4 linked regions of the Astyanax mexicanus genome follow. The protein of the gene in region 3 purifies or fractionates together with the protein of the main gene of each other region. This does not show direct contact. Links are inferred from orthologs where the notes say so. Each region holds a gene or a part of one and is shown on either strand. Other genes may lie near its edges. The genes, in order: rbm15, myosin-9, ddx39b and srrt.

What was found.
Region 1: the proteins of ddx39b (region 3) and rbm15 purify together in Homo sapiens (affinity purification with mass spectrometry; 3 studies listed by BioGRID and IntAct, with this or other methods). This does not show direct contact. The link is inferred for Astyanax mexicanus from reciprocal best matches to the Homo sapiens genes DDX39B and RBM15.
Region 2: the proteins of ddx39b (region 3) and myosin-9 purify together in Homo sapiens (affinity purification with mass spectrometry, with the first as the bait; 4 studies listed by BioGRID). This does not show direct contact. The link is inferred for Astyanax mexicanus from reciprocal best matches to the Homo sapiens genes DDX39B and MYH9.
Region 4: the proteins of ddx39b (region 3) and srrt purify together in Homo sapiens (affinity purification with mass spectrometry; 3 studies listed by BioGRID and IntAct, with this or other methods). This does not show direct contact. The link is inferred for Astyanax mexicanus from reciprocal best matches to the Homo sapiens genes DDX39B and SRRT.

What each region holds. Positions count from the first base shown.
Region 1 is NC_064419.1:41,296,601-41,304,466, forward strand, and holds the start of rbm15 (RNA-binding protein 15), read right to left. Parts: upstream 3,017-7,866; 5' UTR 2,835-3,016; coding exon 246-2,834; 3' UTR 1-245. UniProt on the Homo sapiens protein: RNA-binding protein that acts as a key regulator of N6-methyladenosine (m6A) methylation of RNAs, thereby regulating different processes, such as hematopoietic cell homeostasis, alternative splicing of mRNAs and X chromosome inactivation mediated by Xist RNA.
Region 2 is NC_064410.1:18,744,895-18,752,489, forward strand, and holds the start of myosin-9, read left to right. Parts: upstream 1-4,577; 5' UTR 4,578-4,734; intron 4,735-7,595. UniProt on the Homo sapiens protein: Cellular myosin that appears to play a role in cytokinesis, cell shape, and specialized functions such as secretion and capping. Required for cortical actin clearance prior to oocyte exocytosis. Promotes cell motility in conjunction with S100A4.
Region 3 is NC_064410.1:37,555,424-37,563,086, reverse strand, and holds the start of ddx39b (DEAD (Asp-Glu-Ala-Asp) box polypeptide 39B), read right to left. Parts: upstream 3,020-7,663; 5' UTR 2,930-3,019; intron 311-2,929; 5' UTR 310-310; coding exon 75-309; intron 1-74. Other genes in the region: polr1h (DNA-directed RNA polymerase I subunit RPA12), read left to right, coding at 4,408-4,525, 5,133-5,236, 5,384-5,493, 5,774-5,798; gtf2h4 (general transcription factor IIH subunit 4), read left to right, coding at 7,620-7,663. UniProt on the Homo sapiens protein: Involved in nuclear export of spliced and unspliced mRNA. Component of the TREX complex which is thought to couple mRNA transcription, processing and nuclear export, and specifically associates with spliced mRNA and not with unspliced pre-mRNA.
Region 4 is NC_064408.1:1,332,118-1,339,742, reverse strand, and holds the start of srrt (serrate RNA effector molecule homolog), read left to right. Parts: upstream 1-4,606; 5' UTR 4,607-4,713; intron 4,714-6,354; 5' UTR 6,355-6,386; coding exon 6,387-6,505; intron 6,506-7,469; coding exon 7,470-7,613; intron 7,614-7,625. UniProt on the Homo sapiens protein: Acts as a mediator between the cap-binding complex (CBC) and the primary microRNAs (miRNAs) processing machinery during cell proliferation.

The sequences.
Region 1 (7,866 bases), on a different chromosome or scaffold from region 3:
TGGACAAAAGACTCATAACTTGTAATGATAAGCAAATATTGCGATAAGGAAACCAATTCAGCTATCTGAGTGTGGCATGTTTTATCCCCATGCATTGCATTTGGCAGAACAGATGACACAAACCCACTTTAACCCATTTAAACTAGAATTTGCTGCACCAGGCTTAACAGAGCATGCACAATTGAGACACATTTTTTTTTTCTTTTTTTTTTTTTACAATGCATTTTTTTGGTGTGTTCTGATTGTTAAGATGCTCCGCGGACGATAATCATGACCAGGTAGTCCTCTTCTGTTTTGGCAAGAGCTTTCGCAGAGGAATCTAAGAACTGCTGAGAGAAATCACAGGGCGGAAAGGCATGCAGTACCCCCGTGTTGTCCTTATCGCGACTGCCCCCGACAGGTAGGCTGATGACCCCGGCTGCCTGCTTTTGCTTCAGGTAGGAGACCAGGTTTCGCAGGGGACGCTGCGTCGATGCTGCTGGATCTGCTGAGGAGGAGGATGACGACGTCGTGTCCTCGGAGCTGCCAGGAACTGCCAGGAGAACCGCATACCCGCCCGGGCCTGCGACTTTGATGCGGCGAGACACCTCATCCATCTTGGGCTGGTCGAGGCGAAGGCGCTGGGTGATGCGGAGCTGGGTGACCTTGCCTCCGGTGCTGCCGTCGACGAGGAGACTGCTGGCCACGCTGAGGTCACCATCCAGGATGTGCATGCTGGCTGGAAAGTTGCTGTTTTTCAGGAGGAGCATGCCGTTCCAGGCCATGCTCAGCTTTCCTCCTGAATCTTGCTTAGATGACTGGCTGCCTTTGGAGCTGCCCTCAGCTCTGTCTCTTTTAGAGGGGCCTTTGCTTGCTTCTCCTGCTTTGCGCTTTCTCTCAGATGGGCTTGTTCCGATGCCGGACTCTGACAGGCTGCTGCTGCTCTTGAGGCGCTTTTCTGCAGGTCCTCTGTCCAGGCTGCTGCGGCGTTCTCTGGCTGGGGACGGCCGCTCTGCTCGAAGCGGACGCTCTGAGTCACTTAAACGCCCATCACGGCTGCTGCCTCCAGGGCTGCCCTCCAGAGAAGGTGGTCTCCTGCGTCGTGCCGCCCACTCGCTGCTGCTGTCAGGTGAGCATTCCAGGTGGCGCCCATCCTCTAGTAGGCGCCGTTTGCGAGCAGCATCCCTGCCAGGCAGCTCACGCTCCAGGGACCAGGGCTCTCTTGGACGGCGTTCTCTCTCCAAGTGCTCTAGAGGTTCGAAAGCAGGAGTCCTTACTCTTTCACGAATAGCAGGGGCTGGCCACTCAGCCCCAGCATACAGCTCCCGTTCTCTAAAGTGCAGTGGTGGTGGAGTCCTTTCTCTGACCCTGATTGCTTCAGGAGTGGCACGGTGGACGAAAGACTCCGCCACGAGGTCATAGTGTGGCAGAGGAAGCGGCTGCAAGAACTGCTGCTGGTATCTGTGCTCAGTGTCTGCAAAGTCCACCCTCAGCCTTCTGTCTGGACCTCCCAGAGGAAATCCACGCATGTGAGTGCAGGCTGCCTGAGCTGCATCCAAGCTTTCATACTGGATGTACGCCCACGTGTCACCTTTTCTGTAGTCTATAGTCCTAATGGTGCCAAAGCGATCAAACTCCCTCGCTAAAGCAGCTAGAGGAACCCAAAGCCCTAGGCCACCCACCCAAAGGCGTGTGGTTGGCGTGGCCTTGCCATAGCCGATTTTTATGGCGTTTCTGCCCACCACCTTTCCAGACATGCTGATCTTAGCTCTGTGGGCCATGTCCAAATTCTCAAACTTGAGAAAGCCATATGTGCTGTTCTGGCCACGCGTAGGTCTCTTGATGTCCACCTCTGTAATGGTCCCAAAACGATCAAACGCCCTCCTCAAATCGCTTTCTGTGACTGTAATGTCCAAGTTACCCAGGAATAAAGTTCTGTTGGCTCTTTGGTCGTCCTCTGGAGAGATGAAGTCCTCTTCTCTGAAGGCAGCGGCAGCAGCAGCAGCCCTCTCAGCGATGTAGGCAGGCCTGGCGGCTCTTGCTTCATAGAAGGCAAACTCCCTCTCTCTCTCCAGCTCTCTGGGTAGAGGAGGGGGAGGGGGTGGAGGAAGGCGGCCCAGAGCGAGCTGCTGTAACCTGTAGTCTCTGTAGCCGAGCCCAGTAGGGGAGAGAGGCCTCTGGGTGTGTAAATGTCTGTGGCCAGCCACTGCTGGGAAATGGTCCTTGTCCACCGGGCTGCGGCTTCTCCTCCGGTTCATGTACACGGCCTCGATTTTCAGAGGGCGGTCGTACAGCACTAGGCGGCCGCGGGCGTGCTTGGCGGCCCGGGCGTCGTCAGGCCTCCTAAAGTTCACAAACGCGATTCTCTCGTCGTTTACGCGGCTAATCTTCACGCTTACGTCGCCGAATTTCTTGAATTCGTGGAAAAGCCCGTCCTCGATCTCCTCGTCGCTTAATTGTGAGCCTAGCTCGCTGATTTTCAGCGTTTTGTACTCACTGTCGTTGGCGGGGAGCGGAGTCCGCGGCTCGGCCCGCGAGTTGCCCCTAGCAGCGGCGGCGGCGACTGCCTCCAGCGACAGGCCCGAGTTGTGGTTCTTCGAGTTGGGGCTGGTGTAGCTGTTCCCGGCGCGGCTGGAAACATGTCCGTCAAAGTCCCTACTGTCTCTTTTATCGCCTAGAAGGCTCCTTCTCGCTGAACCTCCCTCGCTTTTGGAGGAACTGTTGCCGTTGTTGCTCCCTCCGGACATGGAAATCACCCCCATTTTCTTACTGCTCGGGTGGCTCCCTCCGCGGTCTCGCAGATCATCCAGCGCCCTCGATCGCTTTTTCACGGGGGAACGCTCTTTCCCTTTCATGTCGAGCACTTTAAACCTGCGCCTGGCCTAATAAACACTCACAACTTGTATAAACTACACCCTAGTTACGCAGATTTAAACGAAAAAACTACGAAAATCCGCCCTGAATCATTCCCGCAGCAAAACAACTGCATTCGCCATCTTGTCTCCACAGCTTCAACACACACTAGCAAACCTAGCTAACGCTAACTCAGGCGAGTCGGGCGGGCGTACCTCGCCCGAGCAATATGATTGGTTGGAATGTCTGCGAGCGCTTGTTTCTATTGGCTGAAACTCACGTCAATCACAAACTCAGAACAACGCCCAGCTAAAACTGGATTATAGCGTGCCTGCCCACTTCAAATCTCTGACGGATGTGTCAGTAGCGTTACTCTAGAGCAACCGATAGAGGGAGCCCGCGAGGGAGTCTTAAATGAATGGGACTGAGTGGGGCTAAACGGCTAAAAACACAAATTAAAACATTGTCCAACTACTTCTTCAACATTTTAATTTAATTTCAGAAAATATATTCACGTATTTCGCTAAAAACGTAAAACAAACATATATTTATGTTTCGATTTGTCCACAGCAAGCATGTTTCACTCAGTAAAAACGCTAGCATTGCTGCTATTGTTTGTGAGATCACTGAGCTGATGTTGGAGATACAGTCAGAGAACACGTTTAAAAGCTGTATAACTGCAGTTTACACTGTTTCTGCGCTGTTAAAACATTTTATATAGTTTTGTTTAGAGGAAATGAGAATTTGTTTCCCATTAAAAAATGATCAGACATTTATAATATCCTATTTTGATCCATTGCTCCATAAGAACCCATTCATTTTGAGCTCACTCAGAAGCGCCCTCTGCTGGTTGAACAAAGCCAGAAGACGTGCTAAAATGACTGATCTCCTCTCTATAGTTTCTTTGGCCCAGCTCTCGCCTAGCCCTCGTGGCATGCGGAAATGAGCCCTCAGAAAGGACGTTTAAATAATTCAACTTTCAGCCTTTTTTTAACGTTTAAAAGGAATTTTCACGCATTTGATCTATAATAAAGTTTATATATAATGATACGAAGGCTTAAATTGTGCAGCAAGATGTGTAAAAACGGTTTATTTTGGTTTATTTAAAATATTTGACCTCTGCTAGAGGCAATGCAGCATTTAATAGCAGTTCATTTTATGTTCAGTAGATGTCGCCGCCTGTATTCTGTATACAGCTCTAGACCAGTAAATACGTTTTTAAATAAATTTTAAATAAATATTAATAATAATAATACTTTAATAATAATAAAATGTATTCTGTGTTGGCTACAAATAATTAGGCAAAAAAAAGAAGAAAATGAACCACTATGTGGCTATTTTTTATAGTTTATATATCTCACAAAATGCTAGAGAATTTAATCAAAATATACTTGGATATGTGAGATGACATTTTATATGATAAAGATGTAAATTGAGTCAATATTACTTTATTATTTCCTTGCAACTGAACTGTAAAATGACCTAATTTGATTGAACCCAGAATTATTTATTAGGTATAGGTATTTATTAAATGAGCAATATGTAAAATGTAAACACATTTCTTGTAAGCTTTGCTGCAGGTTTTTGATTTTATGTTGTGTGGCATCACCTGTGATGGGGGATATAGCAGCAGCTGAATGGGTGGGATCATTGGTTTAGTTAAATTGGGAGAAAAATGGGAGAAAACACACAATGATGTTCTAGCAATGTTACCAGAATGTTTAAAATCGTTAAATAAAATGCTCTAAAAACTTCCAGAAACATTCAGTAAACTTGACTCCACTGCACTGCTTTTCTGATCAGTGATTCTTATTATTTTCTTTTCCTTTATCTGCTTATCTCATTCACGTAATCTGGGCCCTAATCAGTTTGCCTTTGTGGCTGTATCAGGCCGTGCTGTCTCGACGGGCCGGGCTGGAATTCAAAGCTGTGGGTGTGGAGAGTGTTTCTGACAGCCTCGCTCTCTCTCGGCTCTATTGGAAACACATGTCAGCTCTCTTAAAAACACGACATGGTGTGCTAGACTGGCACTTAATGTGGTTCTGCTCTGCTGTCATGCTGAAGATTCGGTGGAAAGACGTGGTAACAAATACTCGCCCTAAAACAATCCTCCACCGCTGTGCGTTTGGAGAGTGGGGTAAGATGACAGTGGCTTTGAACAGGTTGTAACTGCAGCTGTTTAGCTCTGTTTCTCAGCCTGGAAAAGAGCTAAAGAGCTACATCTCAGATGTTATCTAAATTAGGCAGCTTGTCCTAAAAAAAGTGTCTGACAGAACTGGCATGCGGTCATTAGATGCAGATGGAGCTGTCTCACACAGCACCAGCACGCTTCAGGCCTTGTCACATCTGCTGTGGATGTTCTACCACCCCTGTAGCTGTATTTAGCTGGTCTGGATGCTGCTGGAATGTTTGTTTTATATAATGAATAAAAACAATGCACTGAACCACCCTGATTCTAATGTGTTTATTTCCACACATACAATACACTACAATGCATTAACATGTCACATACTGTATCCAGGGGCGTAGCAGCAAATTCTGGGCCCTGTACACCCTCTATGTTAATGGGCCCCTATCCATGCCAGTAAACAAAGGAAAGTGAGCGAAAAAAAATCAGGATTTTCATGGGCCCCTCTCCCTACTCGGGCCCTGGGTAGTCAGGTCCACTTTTCCCCCCACTACCACGCCCATGACTGTATCATGTGTCAGGAACCACCTGTAGTATTGGGTGCCATTACTTTTGCCATGTCTACTGGTAGCTAGCTAGATGTCAGGTTTAAGAGCATTTTTAGCTCCCCTTAAAAAGTTCATTGTACATAGCAATGATATTTTATTCATTTATAAACCAAAACCAATTCAAAACATTATTTTATATAATTTATGAATCCTAATACAGTATTTTTGGATTTAATGCCCGACACAAGGTTTTATAAAATCTACAATACTACTCCTCTTTGGGCATGACAGTATCATGCATAATGTATTTAATTCACTGATTAACATTTTTTATTCTTATTGTATTGTATCGTATTTTATTATTTTTAGATATTTTTATACTATACTGAACCCTTTACCATTTAGTTGGACTTTTGTGTAGAGGACAAATTCAATCACAATATCTTAATAAAGAAGATTTTTAACTTAACTAAAATCTACGTGTGTATTTGGTTTCTATGATCCGGATCATTTGATGAGTTCATTTACTTGGAGCGTTTTCTCCCTCTGTTGGGTTTGGTTTCACACAGGCATAAACCTAAACTCACCAAAATACGCACCAATAAACCACGTGGGCACATTGTGTCCTCTGATTGGTCAGAGCTGTCTGGTGTGGGAGAAATAAAAACAAAATATATCGAGAAGATTCTGTGTTTCAGTGCAGATATCTGTGCAGTGTGAAGCTGCTTTAACACAGGATGCTGAAGATTTGGCGCAGTGCTTTCAAACACAGCGTTTTTGATATGCAGTGCAGATGTACAGTAAACAGAGTTGTGCAGCTGCGAGCAGTGAACACAGCACACACAGTGCGTGTAAACAGCACGGAGCAGCAGCAGAGACAGCATTTGTTCCTAGCTGTGGTAATTAGCATTATCTGGCTAATATATCAAATTTTAAACTGTGCCTTATCAGCAGTTTAGCTTAAATAAAAGGAGTATGTTTGATAGCTGGGTCATTTCTTTTGGTTCTTTTGGGACTGGAAAAAAGTTGTTTTTATCTGCACCTTAAGTAAAATTTTCTATAAGAATGTTTCCTAAGCCAACAGAAAGTAGTTTAAAGGTTTTAGTTTATGGGTTTAGCTGGGATTGGTTAGGTTATAGTTGGGTTTAGTTGATTTAAGTTAAGTTGATGGTACCACCCCATGCCAAGTGGTGGACCTCTAAAGGTACAGTTGAGTTTACTGTCATTTTTTCTAAAAGTCTGGTCTCCCAGAAACAGGACTGAAAGCAAGTGGTCCAGGCCTCCAGACGGCTTGATTTGTTTTTCCGCAGTGGTTTACTTCAGATAAACTAAACCTCTTGTATTAGAGTTGAACCACTTCCTTTCTGACAGATTCTTAGAGAATGTAATTTAAAACCAGAGGAAGTGAGTGTTTGTGTTTAATGAATGCATATCTATGGGTGCCCTCCTGCTCTTCTAGTGCACTCTATGGCACACTTACTAGATAGTGTCCCAAATGGTTTTCTTTCCATCAGAGAAAATGTGATGGGATGCTGTGTTCTACAGTTTTTTTCTACAGATGAGAAAACACAATAAAATGTTTGGTTAAATGCTCCTAAATGCTCTACCTGTGGATTATATATGATGTAGTACCTAATAGTACAATGTTAATCAATGATGCAGATATACAGCTCTTGAAAAAAATAAGAGACCACCAAAAAATTATGGGTTTCTTTGATTTTACCAAATTAAAAACCTCTGTAATATAATCAGGAGGAAGATGGATGATCACAAGCCATCAAACCCAACTGAACTGCTTGAATCCTTGCAGCAGGAGTGTAAAGGCATAAAGTTATCCAAAAGCAGTGTGTAAGACTGGTGGAGGAGAACATGCCAAGATGGAAACTGTGATTAAAAACCAGGGTTATTCCACCAAATATTGATTTCTGAACTCTTAAAACTTATATATAAATATGAACTTGTTTTCTTTGCATTATTTGAGGTCTGAAAGCTCTGCATCATTTTTGTTATTTCAGTTGTTTCTCATTTTCTGCAAATAAATGCTCTAAATGACAATATTTTTATTTGGAATTTGGAAGTCTGTAGTTTATAAAATAAAACAACACTGATTCAGACTCTGAAACTGATTCAGAAACTGATCTGTATTTTAAATGCTGCATTACAGCTTCTTCACTTCTTCAGTGCTGGTGAGGACCCATGTTGCTTTGCTTTAATTTAATTACATTTTTGGTTGTACGGGTTCCTTTCTGCAGTCCTTTTGATTTACAACAACAGTCTTACAGTGTGACACTTCCCCTTCAGACACTGCTCAAACACTCGAACAGCTCTGCAGAAAAAATATGGTCACAATATGGTCAG
Region 2 (7,595 bases), about 19 Mb from region 3:
ATCTGACAGTTTAGAGTATGTGGATGTCTTAGCACTTTTGCTAAAAGAGCTGTCGCTCTGTGTGACTGACTGGAGATGTGGAAGTTGTGTCTGCGTGACCGGCAGGGTCACAACTCTTCATCCGAAGCTCAAGGATGTTTGTGAAAGTCTGGCGTCAACATAGCCCCCCCCTTTACCCGAGAGAGAAAGAGAGAGGGAGAGATAGAGAGAGTAACAGAGACACTCTTACATATATAAAAAGGAATGTTTAAATAAACAACTCAAAATATGACTGAAAAAAAATACTTAAAAATCTGGCAATAACAAACAGTGATAAAATATAAACATTGACATTGAAAAAAACGTCCCAGCTTTTCATTAAAACAATTTCTGGTAGAAAATGTTACTTTTTTTCTATTTCTGGTTGAAAGTGAAAGGTGAAAAGATGTAAAATGAGGTCTATATGAGACCAACACAAGATAGCACATAATTAGAATAGAGTAGAGTAGAGTAGAACAAAAATGATATATGGTTTTCAAAGATTTTAATAAAAATAATACAAATCTGTAAAAAAGTGTGATGTGCAAAAGTATTTAGCCTTCTTTACTCTAAATCCCCTAAATAAAATCCAGTGCAATCAACTGCCTTAAGAAATCACATAATTAGTTAACAGAGTCCAGCTGTGTGTAATTTAGTCTCAGTATAAATGTTCTCTTCTGTGGTTTGTTGGAGAACACTAGTGAACAAACAGCATCATGAAGACCAAATAACTCACCAGACAGGTCAGAGATAAATTTGTGGAGAAGTTGTCTCAAGCTTAGAGCATCCCAAAAAGCACTGTACAATCCATCATCCAGAAAAAAAGTATTATATACCTGCAAACCTACCAAGACATGACAGTCCATCTAAACTGACAGATCGAGCAAGGAGAGCACTGGTCAGAGAAGCAGCCAAGAGGCCCAAGGTCACTCTGAAAGAGCTGCAGAAATCCACAGCTCAGGTGGGAGAATCTGTATACAGGACAACTATAAGTTGTGCACTCCACAAACCTGCCGTTTATGGATAAGTGTCACAAACAAAACCAATGTTGAAAGAAAGACGTGATAAGAAGTGTCGCTTGCAGTTTGCCACAAGCCATGGAAGATACACAGCAAACATGTGGAAGAAGACGCTGTGGTCAGATGAGACCAGTGCTGGTAACTTTTTGGCCTAAATGCAAAGGGCTTTGTGTGGTAAAAAAGTAACACAGCTCATCACCCTGAACACACCATCCCCACTGTGAAGCATGGTGGTGGCAGCATCATGCTGTGTGGATGTTTTTTTCAGCAGGGACAGGGAAGTTGGTCAAAATTAATGGGAAGATGGATGGAGCCAAATACAGGACAATCCTGGAAGAAAACCTGTTGGAGGCTGCAAAAAACTTGAGACTGGGAAGGAGATTCAGCTTCCAGCAAGACAATGAGCCTAAACATACAGCCAGAGCTACAGTGGAATGATTAAAATCAAAGAATATTCATGTGTTAGAAAGGCCCAGTCAAAGTTCTGACCAAAATCCCATCCAGCATCTGTCGCAAGACATGAAAATTGCTGTTCACAGATGCTCTCCATCCAACCTGGCTGAGCTTTAGCTTTTTTGCAAAGAAAAATTGGCAAACATCTCAGTATCTACATGTACAAAGTTCATTGAGACATACCCAAAAATACCTACAGCTGAAATTGCAGTGAAATGTGGCTCTACTAAGTGTTGGTATACTGAAAGGGTTAATAGGCTGATTACTTTTGCACATCTCTGTTTCAGATTTTATTTGATAAAAAAATCGGAAATCATTATAATTTTAGTTCTTTTTATTATATCACTTAAAATATCAATAAATTACATTTAAGTTTGTGGTTTGTGGCAAAATGTGAAAAACATTTAAGTAACATGAAAATTTGTAGTATTTACTAAAAGCTCTGACATTCTAGCATTTTTGTTTTATTTTAGTGCTATATAAAAGGTTTTTCACAAGTTCTTTAGCAAAGTCAACATCTCAATGAATCATTTACACATCTGACCTATAGTTAAACTGCTATTCAAATTCAGAAGTACTTAAACTTTCTTGTAGATATTTTTTTAAATACTTTTTTAACACAAACTGATTACTGTGTTGTTTTTAATATGTAGTTTTTAGGACATCCTGGGTTCAGATGTTTCTTTAAAGTAAAGTAAACCAACCCTTTAACCCATTAAGCTACGATGGTTCTCAATGAAACCCTTGTCTTTAATAAGAACCTTCAAAAATCCCATAATCACACAGTAAGCGTGTCTACCTGTAATTAATTCTATATACCGTTAAAATGAACACAACTAAACCCTAACAAAGTCAGTAGTCAGAAAATGCTTTTAAGCTACTTTTAAAATCTGTTACAGACTATAGTAAAGCAGTGAAGCAGGCTGGGAGCAGAACCAACACAATACAAGGAAATTAAAGACAGGACATTATGTAATTAATGCATTAATACGAAGGAGTAAAGTGGAATAAACATGGATTACTCATAGGCTCATGCTGTAAAGCTCAGAAAATGCTCAGAAAAGTGCAAATGTGTGTAATTGTGTTTAATTATAGTTTGAGTTAAGTGAATAGAACTAGTTAGGTTTATTGCAGGTCTCATCCTCTCAGCCTTTAATTCAATCCCAACAACAGCTCATTTTAGACTCAAGGAGATAGAAAGAGAAAGAGGAGCAGAATAGAAGGAATAAGATGAGGAGATTAAAGGCTAGAAAAATGATGTAAATTCAGTCCAGGAGATCCAGAGTCTGGGCAGGCAGCAGAACTAGATTCCAGTTCCTCACCCAGAGATTAATGCCTGTTTTGTATTTCATTTTTAGATGAATATGAGCTCAGGTATGTGGAATATTCCATTCATCATCACACAGGGACTTCACAATACTGCAGGAGGAACAAAAAACACAGACTGCAGGAACACAACAACCTAATTAAATCTGGACACTGTGCCCCACCAACCAACAGAGCAAATACAAAATGTGCTCAAGTACACAACAAGTTTCAAAACATCCCTATTGTTTTATTTGATCATCTTAACAATGTCTTTATTACTGCATGTTACCTGCCACCTCTAATTCTTCTCTCCACTGCTAAAACTGAGACTTTTTAGATTTACAGTGTTAATCTGAGCTAAAGATGTTGCCATGTGGGTCAGCCTGTAGCAGTTTTCTCCAGTTTCCAAGAGTCTTTTGAAGATGTCGGAAATCACTCTCTGGCTTTATCTAAAGAATAAAATTATAGTTACAAAATTTCCACAGTCTTATTATCATCATCAACTAATTATCATCAGTTAGATTAAATCTGATTTGCCAGCAAACCAATTGTGGTATACTCCAAAATCTTTAGCTAACTGTTTATTTAAACTATTTGTATGTTTAAGTGAAACATTTTTATCTCCATAATCTAACTTCTGAGGTAAACAAAATGCTACATAAGTATAGAAAATTAATGACACAAAATGAATGTCAAAAAAATGTGCACAAAATTCTGAACTCAACAAATGCTTATATATAAAATAGTGTTGTCAGTGTTAACCTGGTAACACACACACACACACACACACACACACACACACACACACACACACACACACACACACACACACACACACACACACACACACACAATTAATCTAGAAAGCGCTTTAATTTTATTTTACCAAATATCTGCAGTAACTTTTTCCAGAGCCTGGTGATGCATTAGCCATTTTTAGCAATATTTAGTGATGTAAAGATACATTTAAACAAACATATTTGAATACAAATAAAACCATTTAGATGACCTTGACATTGATTCTTTTTAATTACATTTAAATATCTATTACTAAAAGTTTAAGTGTTACAAAAATATTTTTTTTATCGTTTGACAAACCGATGTTTTTTTCCAGGATTCTACACAAAACTTCACTTTTAAAAGTAAGTGTTTAAATGTTTTAAATGGTAAAGATGAATGAGTGTGATAAACCTGTCTACAATAGTGGGGGCCTGAACTGAGGCCTATTCATAATCTAGCGCACAAAAAAGGGAGAGAAACAGGGAAAGGGGGGGGGGGGTGGACTGCATTGGTAATTCCTGGCATTCCTCCGTGTTTTGTGGGAGTGTGTGTGCGGAGCTGCAGACAGTGACACACCGGGGTCGAGGGGCTGCTGGTGGGTCCGTCCCGCGCAGCCCGGCTACTTATATGGTCATAAAAGTCCTCGGCTGCTCAGACCGTCCCGTTAAACTCTAAACTCCGGGAGAGGCAGGCCCCGCCCCCACTCCTCCGCCCCGCCCCCTTCCCGCTCTCTCATACTTTAGCTCCGGTTCGTTTTCGCACTTTTGGGCTTCTGATTGGCCGAAGCCGCCTGAACGCTACGCGCTGACTGGCAGAGAAGTGAGGAAGTGGGCGTGGCGTACAAACCGCGCCGGCCCCGCCCTCTCTGGACCGCACCCCGAGCCAGTAGGCGAAACAGTGCAAGTGGAAGAGAGGGAGGGAGAAGAGAGAGCAGAAAAAAATAGTAAAAGAGTGAGAGAGAGAGAGAGAGAGAGAGAGAGAGAGAGAGAGAGAGAGAGAGAGAGAGAGAGAGAGAGAGAGCAAAAGAGACGAAAGAGGAGAGAGCGCGCTAGCCTGAAGAGAGGTTGCAGCGGACAGGCGGTTTTTGCAAAGCTGCTACGACCAGGATAAGCACCGGTTCTTGTTAAGTCAACCTTAAAGCAGCTGGAATAAGCAGGTAAGTTGTTTTTATAGTTTTTACAAGGCGTATTTTCCACCCATCTGCTCTAAAGAGCAAAGTGCACTGAAGCAGGAAGGACGAGCCAGGCTCAAAGTTGGCTTTCAAGTCTAACTCTGCGGTCCACCTTAAATGGGACAGACGTTCCATTGCTCCGGCCACTGAGGCGCCAGAACGTAACTGTAAAGTGCCATGGAACTGCTTCACTATTTAAGGTGGAATGGGAAAAGTGAACGAGATGCTAACTTCAGCTTCAACGTTGAAGGGCGAGGGGAGTAAAGCTTGGCCGGGAGGGACTCTAAACGAGATCGCAACACAGTTTCATCTCCACGCGCACTTTCTTTTACGAGTTTAAGCAGTTCTAAACTTCGCTGCTGCTGCAGGTAGACTTGTTCGAGGGGAAAAAACAAAGCGGTGAAGTTACAGGAAGCGACGACCTGCTCGCATGAATGAGTTGCATAAAAATGGAGGGAGAGAGGGGAGAGGGAGGGAGGGAGCAGCCGGAGCCCGTTACCGGGCCGGGACTCCCCCCGCCAGATCCGGGAGCGCGTTAGCGGGGCGGGGTGGGTTTTACTCTGGGTGTAAATCACCGGCGCGGCTCCACGCGAGACACTCGCTCTCGGATGGTTCATCGTGTTACACGCGGTGACGTCATCGCCCGATTCCGGTGTTCTGTGGAGTTGTGCTACCCTGTCAAACCGTGCTACCCTAGTGTTTAATGTTTAACTGTAAAAATAAAAAATATTAGAACATGCTGCATGCAGTAGAAGTGTCGGTATAATCATATCTGAATAGCCTAGATCGCTGTATCAGGATAAAGTTAAAGCAACATAGGTTAAACAGGTTAAAACAAGGCAACATGACTGAAAACATTTTTATTTATTTTTATTATTATATTTGTTAGTTTTTTTACACGGTTGTAACATTCAGGCAAACGATGACTGTGAGTCCAGATTGTACAATGCACCTGGGGGGAAAAAACTGAAAACTAAATTACCAGGAACTAGAGGTGGGTAACACAGGTCCAGCAAGTAGAAATCTAACTCAGGGTTTTGTACCAGCTGCCTGGAATTTTACTTTCTGGACCTGGGCTACCCACCTCTAGGAAAGAACACATGAAAACAGTAAAGATGAGATTTTTGCGCATGCGCAGAGCCGCTAAGTATCACATATCGACGGGTAGCACAACTCGATAGAACACCTGGCTCCCTGTGTCAGTGACGTAGCGCAGCTAACCCGCGGATCGATACTCCCGATCAGTTTTTGTAGCTTATACATCAGAGAGAATGCATCATTCAATATAAGAAAGAACGAGTAACACTTTTAGCTATATGTACACATATTAACCTTGTCTGTAAGTCTCTCTCCTTTGTTCCATTGCAACATTACTAAACCCCTCAGTTTGAATACCTCTGGATTAACTTTTAATAGGTGCTTTAACCAGTTTGGGGAAAGTTTAGCTGAACTTTCTGGAATGAGTGTGTGTAATAAGTGTTTTAGAAAAGCCATTCAAAAATAAATGTGCACACAAACACACTTATGTGTGGGTTTTGTTATGTAAGCAAAAATGAGAGTTTTACAGGCTAAGAAAAGTATGGTAAATTCTGACATTCAACTCTCTATTCATGTCAAATGCAGAATGTCAACTAAATACTGGTTTAGATGTAAAATTATTATCACAATAAAGACATTTCACCATACGCAGAATATTTCCATCCATATTTTACAGCAAGATTTCAAAACCTGTTCCATATTTGGAACATTGAAAACTGGTTGCCTTTCCATCTAACAGAACTGGGAATTATTTGCATTCCATTTAATCTCGAATTTCCAATAGAATCCAATATGGCAACCTCACACATCAGCAGTTGTAAAGCAATATTATTATAGAGTTTATCACTTCTATCTATAAGTGTTTCATTAAATCCATCCAACACACAGTTCTGTACTACTTCTATCTGCACATGATTACATGCTGTTTGGATGTGCAAAATAATTCCTTCATTATCAGTTGGTTTCACAAACAATTCTAACAAGGGATAAGGCTATCCAGGACAAGGGATAATCCAGGACATAAAAAGTGGGAAAAGTATTGGTTAGATTTACCATAAAACACCGTAAAAACACTTGTGATTTATATTTTGACCTGGAATAGTGTATGACATAATACCTAGCTGCACCATCCAACATGTAAGCTAAATGGAATGCAGCATAATTACTTAATTGTGCTCTTTGAAGAATGAAATGTGCAGGTTTCACCCAGTGAAACCAATCAGATCTGTAAATTAATGATCATGGAAGATCAGAGATTGCTAGGTAGTTAGGTTATATGGTAGCTACTTTTTCAACAAAAAACATATTTGACACAAAACAGTCACAATTTGAAACATAATTTTCAGATTTGCTTAAAAATGTAAATTTGGTTAAATATGAATACAGAAAGATTCCATTTAGGTAGATCAGTTAATATTGTAAATATTAACACATACAGTGTAGATCGCACTCGCTATAATATAATGTTGGCTCAGGTAATATAGGCAACACACAGAGTGTGTTCTTTTTCTCATTCTGCTCAAATTTCGTGGTAAAATAGTTAAAGATTAAATATTGTCACTATTAAACTGATAATTTGCCTCAGTCAGTTGTATATATGTATTTTTTAAGAGCATGTATTAAGCTGACTTTGGGACTCAAAACAATAGCGATACTAAATCATTATTATTTAAACTTCTTTTAGCTAACTATTTTGTAGATGCTTTATTATTATGCATATTCATATAAAATTATCTATATTCACTGGATAATAAATGTAACCTTGTTTAAGATCGTATGATAGTAGTAGAACAGTGCTGGGGGAATTT
Region 3 (7,663 bases):
TGGACTTGAATTTGCACAGCAGGTGGAATTCTACTCTTCTCACTTTGGCTAAAGATTTCCTTCATTCTGCTCACCTTCAGACGGATGCTCAAAGCCACAGTCCACTATGGCCCTCAGAAGCTCAGGCTTCAGAAGAAAGTCCCTGAACCCTGAGGAGTGGATGGACACATAAGAGCCTTTGACCCCCTCCTTTCTTATGGTCATGGCACCACTGTCACCGGCAAGCGTTCCATCCCCGACGCCACCTGCTGCATCTACTTCATCCTCCTCATAGTCTAACAGCTCGTTCTCCACGTCGTTCTCAGTCATTCTGAAAAAGGGGAAAACACTAATTAAACATTTAGCCTGTAGATCATTACCCTGAGAGCAAAGAACGGTATACGGATATATGAATAGAATACAAACATAATATACATATTTAATTTAAGTCAAGTTTAATACAAACAATAAATATAAAATCATAATTTTGAATCAATGTTTGAATCAAAGTTTACACATAAATAAATTCTGGCAATCAACATTGTTTCAACATATGTAAATGTTGATTCGGGAGCTGAGTGGTACAGCAAGCTAAGTGCTGCAACTATGATCAGGAGATTGCTGGTTTGAATCCAGGACATGCAGCTTGCCATCTGCTGCCAGAGCCCCGAGAGAGCACAACTGGCTTTGCACTCTCTAGGTGGGTAGATGGCGCTCTTTTCCCCTGATCACAGAGACTGACATGACTTTATTCCTTTCAGCAATATTTGCTGCACTCTAAAAAACTATAAACTATCTACCTCAGTAACTGCTGTGATTATATATGTTCTATATGTTACAGTATGTTACACATCTCTGCACCTTATCCTCACTAAACACTCTATTATACCGTATCGGTACTGCACTGTCCTGTCTTTAAATTGTCTCGTCTTTTGTATTTATTGTATTTATTATTATTTAGTGTTATAATTTTATCTGTCGTCACTCCTGCACTTTATGTTGTCTATTGCTTGTTGTTCTATGTTGCACCATGGTTCCGGAGGAACGTAATTTTATTAAACTGTGTACCTGTACTCAGATGTAATGACAATAAAAGCCTTGACTTGACTTGACTTGACTTGATCAGCACAAGGCACCTGTGAGCTGATGTATCAGAATCAAATTGCTGCGCTTATGCTCTGATAAAATACTGACTGATACTATATTAGGATACTGATATATAGCTGCTCAAAAAGGCACGAACAGTAAAACTGATGTAAGTAAACATCTGCACTGCAAAATCTAAACATGAAGGGAAGTCATACAATATTATATTGCCCAAGCAATAAGAAGATTTTGTAAAGAAACATTATTCTGTAAGTATCAACATAACTGTGTTCAAATTGTTAAATATAAATATTATTTTATGATACACAAAATGAGTATTTCTCGAATTGTATTATGATTAGGCATTTAAATGTGTTGATATTTACTTAATTAAAGGATCAATATTTGCAGATATCATATTCTTTATTACAGTTTAAGACAAGCCTAATATGCACATATTCCTTAAAAGCTATTTTGCCATCAATTTGTAGCTTTTACAGTAAAGTATTGACATTTTAGAGACTCTGTATTGTATGCTAAGATACTAAGGTTCTGTTTAACCTGTATTAACTATTTAGTAGGGATGCTAGGGGTGGGCAATATTATATCGTATACAATATATCGTGACACAGAAATATCGTGATATTAAAAAATCCATATCGTGATAATAGGGCTGTTCTGTCTTAAAAGTAGTCTATTATTTACTGTGAAGCTTTAGGTGTATTTATTGTATAATTGTTTTAGTTTGCAGTTTATATGCATGCACTAAATATTCTGCAATATTTTTGCTGCATTATATTATTTTATGCTATATTATTTATTTTGCCACATTATGATTATGCTGTTATACTCTTATACTATATTCCTGAAATTAATTAATTATTTTAGTTTTCCTACATCGCCAAGTATATAGTTACCGCAAAACTACCCTGAAATATCGTGATATTATTTTATAGACATATTGCCCACCCCTAAGTGATGCACAATGATATCGGCCAATACTATTATTTTTTTAGAATATTCAGCAATGATATGGAAATATGGCTATTATTTTAAACCAATACTTACTTACATATTTATTGTATTCCAGAATTTTTTATTATAAATGTGTATATCGGATATAGACATCGGCCCAGAATTTTCACATCGCTTCGTCCCTACTATTTAGAAAGATAAAAAAGAAGATCATATGATTAATTATCTGTAAATTAGATTTAGTAAATATTTGGTAAAATCTCAATTGCTAATGTCATCACTAGTCACAATCCCAAACCAAATAAAAAAAAATATAAAATTTTTACATAAAAATATAAAAAAACATCTGAAACTGAATATAAATTAGTTAATATTATTTTTTTATAGCTTCTCCAAGTGTCCTGTATGAGACTTTAAAGCCCTCAAATTTTCAGAATGTAATTAAGTTATTTTACTGCAGAAAAAAGGGTTTTGTATCACCTGCACCTGTAGCTCGTATACGGGAGAAGGCATTAGGCACATATGGCAACAACCAACGTGTTTTGCTATTTAAAAAAGCAGTAATAATATTGTACCATAGCAATTTTATATGAAAATATAATCAATACATATATAATCAATACTGCACAGCCTTGATGGGCAACATTAAATATAATACCCACAGCTGACGGATATGACCATATTAATTATAAAAATGATTGTAATGAATGGATGAAGTTTGCAGGTTTCAGTATATCAGCTGCACAGGGCTGCTGTGTATATATCTGCAGCAGCATGTGTTTACAGAGCAGCTCACACGCGCTGCTGCACTACAGACTGGTGCACAGAACAACACAGCCAGCGCTGCATGTGTTTAACCGCATTTTATCAGATATAAACCCTCATTTACCTGGATTAACTGTGAGACACTCCGCGGTGTGTTTTTATTTCACCTGCTCGCTGCTGCTGCTCCCCTGCACGTCATTTGCTCTGAGACGAAGGGCCTCCCTCCCACCAGCAGCTAGAGCTGTCCTCCGCTCCGCCTGAGCTCAGCTCCGCAGGCCGGCTTCTGCTCTCAGGGATCTGTCGCTCAACTCCTCCGCTTTCCAGCTCGGCTTTAGCGACACTACTGGATTTAAGAGCTTGTTTAGACGGTAAGTTAAGTGGGTGGAAACCGCAGAATGTCGGGTTTAGTTGTGTTGGTAAACACGTGTTTAGGTGTAGTTGATAGCTAAAGTTGGCTTCTTAAGCGAAATATTCGTTCCACCTTAAATCGTGCTGTATTTACACGGGCAGCCGTTGAGGCACGAGACTATAACTGCTGAGTCTTTTAAGGTGGAACTGAAGTTTTCGTCTTGTCGTGGTTAGCATGGGTGCTAACTTCTTTTCTTCTCAACTTGGATTAATTACTTTAGTTAGCATAAGTCACACATTTGGATCACTTGTGTGTTTTAAAATTGTTTTATTATCTACATTTTCATTCTTTTTTTCTTTTTCTTCTTTTCTTTTTACAATAAACCAATGATAATACAAGTTATTAAAATTTAACTGGAACTTTCCTTCCACGTAAAAAAAAATCCAGCTGTTGCATACAGTTGTCATATAGTTTGCTATATTAAAGGTTTCATGCCATCGTTTTTTCATTTATTTTATTTTATTTCTGGTTGTGGTCTTCAGTATGAATAAAAAAAATAAAAAAATCTGTTGTTTTAGTATTTAGCGGCTTTAGTCCGGTGGAGGAGTGGGAGGGAGAAACATGTGTTGTTACTCTAGTCTCAGAGTTTCTGTAAAACACAAAATCCACTGGAGATCCTATGTAAACTATAGTTACACAGAGGTGGGTAACGTTAGTCCAGTTCCAGAAAGTAAAAATCCATTTTTTAAATGTTTAACTAGTGTAAACAGAACTGTTTTTAAACATACACTGACCTATCTCAGTTGGACTTCGCTGGAGGTGTACCATAGACAGATTTTAACCATTTTTCCTTATGTCTGTATACTTCCGGAGTTTACTATAGCAAGTAATTGTAACGTTATAGTGTTTATGGTTCAAGAAAACATATAGTCACAATAATGCATGAATTAATATCCTGTTATGCCTCATCGCATATGCTCAAAGTAATTGTAAGTGGATAAAATGTATATACAGAATGTAGAAATGTATATAGTGTTATAGTCACAAATGTGTGTTTACAGCTAATTAGTTAAATATGGTTTTATGTAAAGTTACTTACTGGTACATAAGTTTGTGTGTATTTGTTTTAGTAATGCTGATGTGAACATATTAATAATTATCATGAAGTAGGATTGTCATGTATAACTTTACAAATTAGTATTTTAATTTAATGTTTGATGATGTGCATTTATTTCCACTCTTGATGTAGGACCATGTCTTGCTTCCAAGGAGATATAAACTTCTGTCCTGAATGTGGTAATATTCTACCAGTCCCTGGAATTCAGAATACCATTACATGTCCTCGGTGCTCATTCGACATTCCTGCCAGTGGTGAGATTTCATTTTGGCCTAAAGATATTTAGATATACTTAGTGGCCACTATTAGAAAAACCTTCATGTTGGGGGAAACCGGCCAGCATGGCCAGCTTAAATCAGCTTGTTGATCAGCATATAGTATGTTTTGTTTGATGTTTCAGCTGGTCAACAAACATGATCAACCTGGCCAACCTTACCAGTATGTTTTTGACTAGATAACTGGCTTGTCAACAATTTTGATCATCAAATATCAGCATAGATCATCTAAAGCCAGACACCAGTAAAAGCTGGTCTGCAACTGGATTTTTGATCAAGCTGATTTGACGTTCCACCTTGCTGGTGTACAATAAAAGACCATAGCCCATCTGTTGATGGACTGTTCTTGTTATTTTGTAGTGGCAGAGCTACTACCTAGCAGTGGCATTAATTTGAACATGTCATCACCATCCAGATCCAATTAACGTCTGCTCAGAGTTATGTGGTAGGTGTACCCTCATAGCGTGTTTGGAGAAAGAATGGACAAGGAAGGAGTTTGTAATTAAGTAGACAATCTGAGAAATATACAGGGGGATTTTTACCTACAGCCAGGACAATGTTTAAGTCAACTTTTTTTTCTCCTCAGGTTTTGCTGGGCAGGTTATCAAGTCATCTGTAGTATTTAATCCGTTGGTGCAGAGTTCTACTACTGTGGAGAGTGAGGAGGATTCTGAACTAAAAGGCCCTGTGGTAAGTTGCCTAAATTTAACACTAAAAAATTTTGTTAAATAATCTTTGCCCTGCAACAGTTGTTTAAAGAGTGAACAGTGGACAAAAAACATTAGGGAATGTGAGCATTTATAATTGTTATCTTCTTCTATGCAAATTCTTCACCAGGTGGACAGAAGGTGTTCACGCTGCAATAAAGAAGGAATGGTATACCACACAAGGCAAATGAGATCAGCAGATGAAGGCCAAACGGTGTTTTTCACGTGTATTCACTGCAGGTAATGTCAGAGTGACTCCATTAATAACTCATACTGCTAAATGCATTGATTTCTCTGAGGTGCAGGGGTGCTCTGAACAGAGTAAGGTTTATATTGATTCTTTTTCCACAAATCAAGGCAGAGTGAAAATGAGAGAGGCAAGAACATCTGTGTTTAAGTTTCAATTTGTCATTCCACTTACATGAACAAGACAACATACAGTTTTTCTGCCACAATCTATAAGAAATCACAGAAATCTACAGAAGCTAATTTCTTTTTTATTTCAATGTTTACATTACAGGCACCAAGAGAAGGAAGATTCATGAGATGTTTGGTGTTGTCCGACTTGTATTTGATCATTGATCAACAACGTGAATCCAATATTGTGTCTGCACAAGATGTAATGGAAAAAGACGCCACAAGGACTTGGACATTTTTGCTGTACATTCAAAATGTTTTGTATCAAAAAGAAATGAATAAAAAATGTAATATAAAAAATGTGAGAAGCACAAGCATATGTCTTTCTTTTTACCTTGTTATTTCTGTCTATATCTGCAGTAGACATTTGTAGTAATAGCAGTCTTGTGTTCAGTGTTTTGATTTTAAGTTAGAATAAGTATGAGGGCAAGTTAAATATCAAAGAAAGCAGCAGAATCCTTAATTAACTACACTTTAAGGTTGCTGTGATGGGGATAATCAAGATGTTTTTTGGCAAATGTGAGATGGGCTGTTGTGTTCTTTTTGTTTTTAGTATATTTCGAAAGTATTGTGTTTTTCTTTTCATTTATAGTTATTGTATTTTCTGGCTACATCAGCTAAGCCTTACCTTTTCAAATTCATACAGTTTTTTTCATTCATACACATTCATAGAGTGTTTCATACATGACTCCTTTTTAAACGAGTTCAGTAAAGGGCAGTCAACTGGAACCTAACTTGCTTACACATACCAGTCCCAAAACGCATAGTAAAAACGTATATACATAAAAATGCAGCTCTGGAAACAAATAATAGACCACTTAGGCGGTCTGAACTGATTGAATTTTGGTTATCCAAAAGCTGTGTGTAAGACTGGTAGTAGAGAACATGCCAAGATGCATGAAAACTGTGATTAAAAAACAAGGTTAATCCACCAAATATTGATTTCTGAACTCTTAAAACCTTATGAATATGAACTTGTTTTCTATGCATTATTGAGGTCTGAAAGCTCTTTTCTGTTATTTCAGCCATTTTTCATTTTCTGCAAATAAATGCTTTAATAATTGTCATATTTTATTTTGGAATTTGGAAGGAATGTTGTCTGTAGAATAAAACAACAGTGTTCATTTTACTCAAACATATACCTATAAATAGAAAAAACTGATTCAGAAACTGAAGTCACCTCTTATCGTTTTTTCTAGAGCCGAATGTATATAGTTATGAATTTAGAAAGAAAGAACAAATGTTCATAAAAAGAAGCGTAGAACTGTTGGCTTTAGGGAAACATAAAGTGCAAAATAAATGTAATACTTATATGTAGGATTTTAAAATTTTTAAATCGTTATTTGGAAATAATAACATTTATAGAAATTAAGATAATGCTCTTTTGGTCATGGCCGGTTCAGCTGTGAATCAGCCAATCAGAAGAGTCCGGTTCGTGTGCGTCACGTGATCACGCCAACATGGCTTTCTGTACAGCAGCAGCACAATAGCAGCATGCTAATGTTCAGCTCTGGACTGTTTACTCTGTCTTTTAACGTCTTTCTATAAGGTGAGACCCACTAAAACATGAATTAAATAAGATTTAAGGCTCTTGCACGCGCCCGGAGTGCGAATTAAAGCACCTAGTGAATCAGTAATATTGTCAGTGATATTATTGTCTGCTGGAGTTCAGGAGTCTCTCCTGTTAGATAACTGGTTAGCAAACATTTTTGAGTTATAATCGCTATAGTTCGTTTAAGGCTGTAAGTTCAGAAGTTTTAATTCAGCCAGTTGATTGTTTTTTATTAGAACAGTCTGGTTCTCCTTATCATTACAACGCTGTGATTTTAATGCAGGGATGAAAGTAACCTAAAGTAACTCTGCAGGGAAGTAACTTATCTAACGCTGCTGTTAATTCCAGCTCTGTGTTTTATGTACATCCTTTGCAGTGGATCCCTCTGTCTCTAAAGATGAAGCTCAGAGTACAGCTACAGTGCAAAAACCTTCATGAGTA
Region 4 (7,625 bases), on a different chromosome or scaffold from region 3:
GTGGTTAGCTTCTGCATTTTTACCCCCTATTTATTCTTAATATGGAAAAAAGAGACCACAATAACACTTAAATTTAAATTTTCAAAAATTCTGCAATGCCCAAATCACACAGATGGTCTCTCACAGGTAATATGAACAGGGATAACAGTATATCTGTAATTAGTGAAGGATACAGGTCTCCTCGTACACCTGGATGGTTGCCATGTCTCCCTCCAGACGGATGATCTCCCCCACCAGCTCACTGTGCCCCACCCTCACCAGCTCGTACATCGCAGCTCCCGCCATGCTGGAGGCCGTCACCACTGCGGCGTAAACACGTATCAGAACATATTCTTACCCAACACAGTGACTAGTGCTGGGAGGTATGATCAAAAAATTATATCACAGTAAAACACTCAATGTTTATGCATTTAAAAAAAGAGACATTTATCAAAAGCTCTACTGCACTCCAGCGGTCTAAAGCGCTGCCACTATGAGCGGGAGGTCGCAGGTTCGAACCCCCACTCATGCAGCTTTACCATCAAGCTGCCGGCGCTCAGAGGGAGCACAATTGGCCCAGTTTCTCTCTGGGTGGGTACAGTACAGTAGATGGCGCTCTCTCTTTCCCCTCATCACTCCTAGGGTGATGTGGATCAGCACAAGGCTGCGTCTGTGAGCTGATGTATCAGAACCGAGTCACTGCACCGCTTTCCTCCGAGCGTTAGCGCTGTGATGCTACTTGGAAATGCTACAGCATCAGCAGCAGCTCAAAAAGAGGCGGAGTCTGACTTCACATGTATCGGAGGAGGTGTGTGCTAGTCTTCTTAACCCTCCTGGTGTGTTGGAGCATCACTAGTGATAGGGGGAGGAGTCCTAATGAGTGGGTTGGGTAATTGGCCGTGTAAATGGGAAAAATGGGAAAAATTAGAAATAAATTTATACTGCACACAATTAATTAATACATTCAGTTCAATGTGCATTAAAATGATCCTTCCATCTACATTATTAATATTTAAACAGGCCTGTAGTTACTGCTCTTGAAGTTTATTTTCATCTCTTATCCAGAGTTTTAGGGAGTTTTATCTCTTGTACTAAATAAATGATTCTGTACCCAGATCCGATTCTGGGCTCATCTGGGGGACAAGAGGAAATTTCTCAGAGCTGTGGACTGATTGCGCAATTCTATTCCTCCTTTTTCTGAGTGAATAATTGCTGTTTGCTGTTGTTTTTCTATTTTTCTCAGATAAAAACACTCATGCAGTGAGGAACAGCAGCAGGAGCTCTTCAGATAAAGTGCTGTTCTCATTTCTCTCCAGGCTAGACAGAGCGAGACGAGTGTTTGACTCCACAGGGATGAGCTACCATCACTCCAGTGCGTTAGCTTGTTATGCTAACTGGCTAGCGTTAGCTAGTGAGCCGTGTCAGTGTGCTTCTTTGGTGGTTCTATTCTGCACAGCACTCTGCAGCACCTCTAGTGGTATGGCAGTATGTGAAAAAGCATACCGGTTTTAATTTCCCCTCCAGTATATCAAATAAAACGATATACCGCCCAGCACTAATTGTGACCACAATAGAACAGAACAGAGACTCACCGGGTCCGGAGACGCCGTGAACAAAGCCGAACTGTCCCTCCCGATCTTCATCCCGAATTTTGGGAAGCTTGGAGAAATCCATCCTGAGTGAGAGTGTGTCTGAGTGACGAAAAAAGAGAGAATATAGTTATAAAATAAATAAAATGTGCTTTAAATACCGTATTTTATCCAAGCAAAGTTCGTTTTTCCCGTCTAGCAGCTCCTGAGTGGCGTAACTGTCTAAGCGCAGACTCTGTTGTGTGCTGTGTTTCTTCCCAAACTGCAGCTCAACACGCTTGGAGGAGAACACTACACAACTGCTAACCCTGATACCTCAGCTAGCTTAGCAGACGACGATCATAGCATCACATGATTGGAGGGGTGAACAAATAATTTAAAGATAAAATTCATTAAAATAAATAAATAAATAAATAACGTATATTTGCTTGTATTTTATTATTAGAATAGTATATAGTAACATATCTACTTATAACACTGCTTTGTGATTATGTTTATTTTACACAAAAATACTAAATAAATAGCATTTTATACTACACTGCTGTATAAAATTATACAACGACGTATCTATTGTAAATTGATCTATACATCAGTACATATTATTTAGTAAATAGTAATTTTTTTAAATTCATTTTTCTATTTAGATTCTTATTATACTAGTTGATTATTATTCATTTGTCCTTTTTAGCATTTTTCTTTATTTTAAATTTGATAAATTCTTAACTTTTTATGTGTTATTTTTTATGGTTATTATTATTATTATTATTATTATTATTATTATTATTATTATTATTATTTTATTTTATTTATTGTTATATATGTCTTGAATTTGTTATAAACTGTAAATGCTAGGCTGCACTGTAAATAAGGGTCACCCTCAATGTTCTCCTGAGTTTAAATAAAGGTTGGTTTCTATAATTGAATTCAGCACAGTCTCTCTAAATACCTCACTTGGGCGTTAACTCTAATTATAGACTCTACTTATAGACTACTGTAACACACATAATATATCTTAAATTAATTGTAATATTCTTTTTTTATATTCTAATACTTTTCTGTAATCTATTAATTTTCTGTTTCTTTTAATATTCTATTAGAAATAATTTTAATGGTGCAGCAGCTTTTAGTGTATTTTTAGTTTATTTAGTATATTTATGTCCACTTAATTTACATAGTGTATTTCTGTATATTAAGAAAGAAATACATATATTTAAAATATAGAGATAGCTATTTTAATGTATATTGATTATAATTAGTTAAAGTATAAGTAGTACTTTTTTTTGCATTAGTAGCAGTATTTATAGCATTTTTTTAGCAATGTATACTAAGTGTATTTCTATATATTTAATATATTGCTGTATATTGAATGCATGTGTCTTTGTGGCTATGTGTTAGTAATATATATGTAGGTTTGTACATATTAGTTTATTGTTGTATTTTAAGCAGCAGTGTGTGTGTTTTAATGGATTTAGTACATTTAGAGCGGTATATTGTGTATATTTTGTATATTTCTGTGTATTTAAGATTTATTTTTAACATTTCTAATAAATGCACAGATGCATGACATCCTTAATTAAATGATACATGAACTATAAAGTAAAATAAAAGCCTAAAATCGAATTAAATCCTAAATTAAGCTGAAATAAGCTTGTTTTTCGAATTAGCCGTTCCACCTTAAATGTTGCTGCAGTTGCATTCTGGCGCCTCGGGCGCCAGAATGCAACTGCAGCAACATTTAAGGTGGAACGGCTAATTCGAAAAACAAGCGAGTAAATTAGAGCAGTTAAAAGCTAAAATCAATTAAAAACGAGCTTAAAACGAGAAATATCAACTAAAAAACACAATTACATGAATAAATCGATATAAAACAGTAAAATAAGGCTGAAATCGAGCTTGTCTTACCGTTTTACTATGAGAACAGAGCAGAAGCAGAGCTGAACAGTCACGACACTGATCAGCTGACTGGACCTGGATTAACCCCTTTAAACCCCTTTAACCCTTTACTGACCACATCCCTCCTATATATTACATTTATTATTACATATAACACACAAATCAGAGCATATTTATACAGATTCTCACTTATATTCTTATTAAATTAAGGGAATATTTATGATATATTTCCTTAAATTTTCTTACAGTGTAATTAATAGGCAGAATTGTTTTATTTGTATATTTATTTACAAGATATATGCTCATTATAAAACTTATATCAATCAGTATTACTATATGTTTTATTACTATGAATCTTACTATGCTTTCGTTCGAAAAATATTTAATTTTTGCAAAGGTCTTTTTTTTTAAATGTATTTATTTATTTAGCTATTGTTTTAATTATTTATTTACTTATTGATTTATTTATTTGTCTAGTCATTTCTTTATTAATGTATTATTTTTCTATCATCTACTCATTTCTATTTTTATTAATTTATTGATTTATTTATTTATTTGTCTATTCATTTCGTTCTTTCTTTCTTTCTTTATTTGTCTATTTCTTTCTTTTTCTTCTTTCAATTCATTTCTACCTTTATTTGTTTATTGATTTATGTATTTGCCTATTCATTTATTTCAATTTCTTTATTTTTCTACCTTCTATCCCTTTCTATCTTTTTTTTTACTTATTGATTTATTTTTTTATGTATTTATTTAATTGTCTATTTATAAGCAATGCATTAATTATCTGCGTTTGGATCTTTTATTTATTTTAGGCCAGTTTTTGGCTAAAAATATTGTTTTACTTAAGATACAGCTTTTACTTTTAATATGTGAAAGAGTGCATAATTTATACACTTTATTTATATTCAGCCTTTGGGATAAATATTTTATTTAGTTATTTACATGTTTTGGTTTTAGACATAAAAATCCTTTTTGTGCATCCCTATTATGAACGTACTTACCTATTTTGTAGATTGATTGATTGATTGATTGATTGATTATATATTACCTAAATTAAACTAAATTTACCATAATTTACTTTATAAGTATATACAGACTTTGATTCTGAAGTGTTGTGTTTGGGCTGCGCTTTGCTCTTCTGGCCGGAGGGGGCGCTGCTGCGTGATATCAGTGCAACATCCGGGAGCCTGCTTCGTCCGTTCTGCAGCGAGACCGCGGCGGGTGGCGGGATTTTACCGAGTAGTTACCGGTACCGCGGCTTTTCTTGCCTTTGTCTCTGTTTATTTACTGTTTTTATACCTTTTACACCCATATTCTAGTTTGTGTAAGGTTCTGTATGTGGAAAGCAGCGTAATAGAAACGTATTTTGGGCTAATCTGTTCCTTTACTTTTGTTCTGTAGTCTCGAGAGTGAAGCTAGCGAGCTAGCCAGCCTATAGCTGGGCCGTGCTCCAATAAGCGCACTCGCGCCCTTAACTGTACACTTATTTATTTATCTGTTTAGTGGGTGTTTGGGAGTAGTTTAGTCTGATTTAAAGTGTTTTGATTCTTTACTGACAGATTCATTGTTTAGTGTGTTTATGGAGAAAGCTTAAGTTTACTCCTATGGGAGAGAAAACACACTTAGGTAGGGTGCCTGAGTAGGGTGCGTAGTTAAGCGTACTTGTTTTTTGAGATATCTAGCTACATATTTAAGGAACAGTTACGTATGTAGCTCATTTGTCAGTAAAATTAGTTAAATAAGTGATATATTTAATAAATGGTACGTTCATATCTGTGTAATATCTCAAACAAACGTTCAAATATAGGTAAGCATGTTAGCTAGTCTACTGCTCGTATTGGAACACAGACAGGCTTGTATAATAAGCTAAGCTAACGTTACTTGCTCTAGCTAGGCTAGCTAGCTAAGATAACCATAGAGTGTATGTCGTTTTATCTGAATATTTGAGTTAAATACTTTTTTTGAAGCCTAAATTGCTTTAATATATAAAATTATTCTACACGTTTGGAGCAGAACTAGCGTTAGCTAGGTTAGCTTGCTAACTGGTAAGTTAGCTATGCTAGCTAGCAGTGCTAATCGCTTCAGATATCCTTTATTAAATCTTGTTTATTGTGTTAAGTTTTTATATACAGCTATTTAAACATGTAAATTGTACCATAGTGCACAATTGTGAAGTTTATCACCTTTAAAACAGGCTCATTGAATTTTCCTTTCCACCTTAAATCTGCAACAGTTTCATACTGCAACCAATGCCCCCGTTACAGTGCAAACAATGGGGAAATTTAAGGTGGAACGGAAAACTTTCTTATTTAGTGCCAAGGTGTGAAAACACAGCTTTTACAATATGTACCAATGGAGGGTTTAGCTTTAATATTGCAATATTTTGTTTCACGTTGTGCTGTGTGAATTGGAGTTATTTTTGTTTTCCTTTAAATATTAAATTGTTCTTCTAAACCTTTGGACCAGAGGTATTGTAGTTTACTGTCTAGCCAGTTCGCAATGCTATTTTCACTTACTTAAATGTTATATAGTTATTTAACTTAGTAAATTGTGCTATAGTTTGCCAATGTTAAGTTTATTACTGAATGTTCTGTTCCACCTTAAATTATGCTGTTGCGTGCACTGTAAACGTGACATTGGTTGCAGTACAGTGTAACTGTAGTAGATTTAAGGTGGAACAGTCAATTAAAAAAATACTTATTCAATGCTCAGTCTTGATAAATGTTTGTGTGTGTATATGCGTAATGTATGGGGTTTAGTCACATTATTAAAAGTGGATTTTTTTTTTCCAGCTTATAATACTAGACCCCCTTGAGGATCACTTTTAGAGATCTGTATTCCACATTCTGTATTGAAGTTGATGTTATTTCTTGTATATTTTCTTTATTAGTGAGATCTGAGACTGGTTGGTGATTGGGCGTGATGGCAGACAGTGATGATGAGTACGATCGCCGCCGCAGGGATAAATTCCGCAGGGAAAGGAGCGATTATGACCGTTCCAGAGAGAGGGAGGACCGGCGGAGAGACGACTGGAGTGACCGGTGAGCAGCTGGGAATTTAATATAACTTAGTACAAGAACTTAATAACCGTTTATAACAGGGGTTCCCCAACCCGAGTTCTTGTGTTTCTCACGTTTTAGTGTGTTCCTAACACATTACTGTTACTTGGAAACCTTCAAAGTATAAACATTCATGGTTTTAACACATTGGTGCTAAAAAGGAAAAAACTCTGGTCTCATATTTCACTGATAATTAGGGCTGTGTATTGGCAACAACCTGGTGATATGAGATTTTAGTTTTTCGCTTGTTTTAGGAAAACTGTCTAAAGCCCTGTCTGGACGGAATTAGTTTCTCAGGGGGACACCTGTGAAAAATATTTCACTGTTCTACTCAGTGATAAAACTCCTGCATCCGGACTGCAATTGTAAAAACAGGATGACCAGGGGGTTTTTAGGCTTTTTTCTCAGTCACATGACCTCACGTTCAGTAGCTCCTCCATTTCCACACACTGTTGTTTTTAATGTGGATCTCCTTGGAAACGCACGTCCAAAGTGTAATTACGGTGCGCAGCAGTGGACAAATATCTATTTTATTAAAGGTGAGACGAAACGAAGATGTGCGTCCAGAGGGGACTAAAATTACTGGAGGAGCACGAAAAAGAGTTCAGAGGACGTCTGTGAAAAACACGAACATGATCGTTCTGGACGGAAATAAAATTACCGAGGATAAAAAAAAAAACATAAAAGAGAAAATTACCCAGAACCTCCTGAGAAAATAATCCAGTCCAAATAGGCCTATAGTACAAAAAAACAAACCACGTTGATTTAATCTAAGAGAAAAAGTTTACTTTGAAAAGAATCAGAGCAGTGGTTTTTCAGTTAGCCTTTATGACATGTCCTGTAACATTCAGCACCATTTTAACAGAAAATAAGTTACGTATATCACGTATATTAAAAAGTGCTTGCAGGATTATTTATGTGTGTTTTGTGTGTTTGTGGTTTGCAGGCGCCCGTCGGCGAGAGAGTGGGACCGGGGCCGAGAGAGACGTAGCCGGGGGGAGTACCGGGATTACGAGAGGGGCAGGAGGGAGAGATTCTCCCCACCCAGACACGACATGAGCCCCCAGCAGAAACGCATGAGGAGAGACTGGTACACATTAAA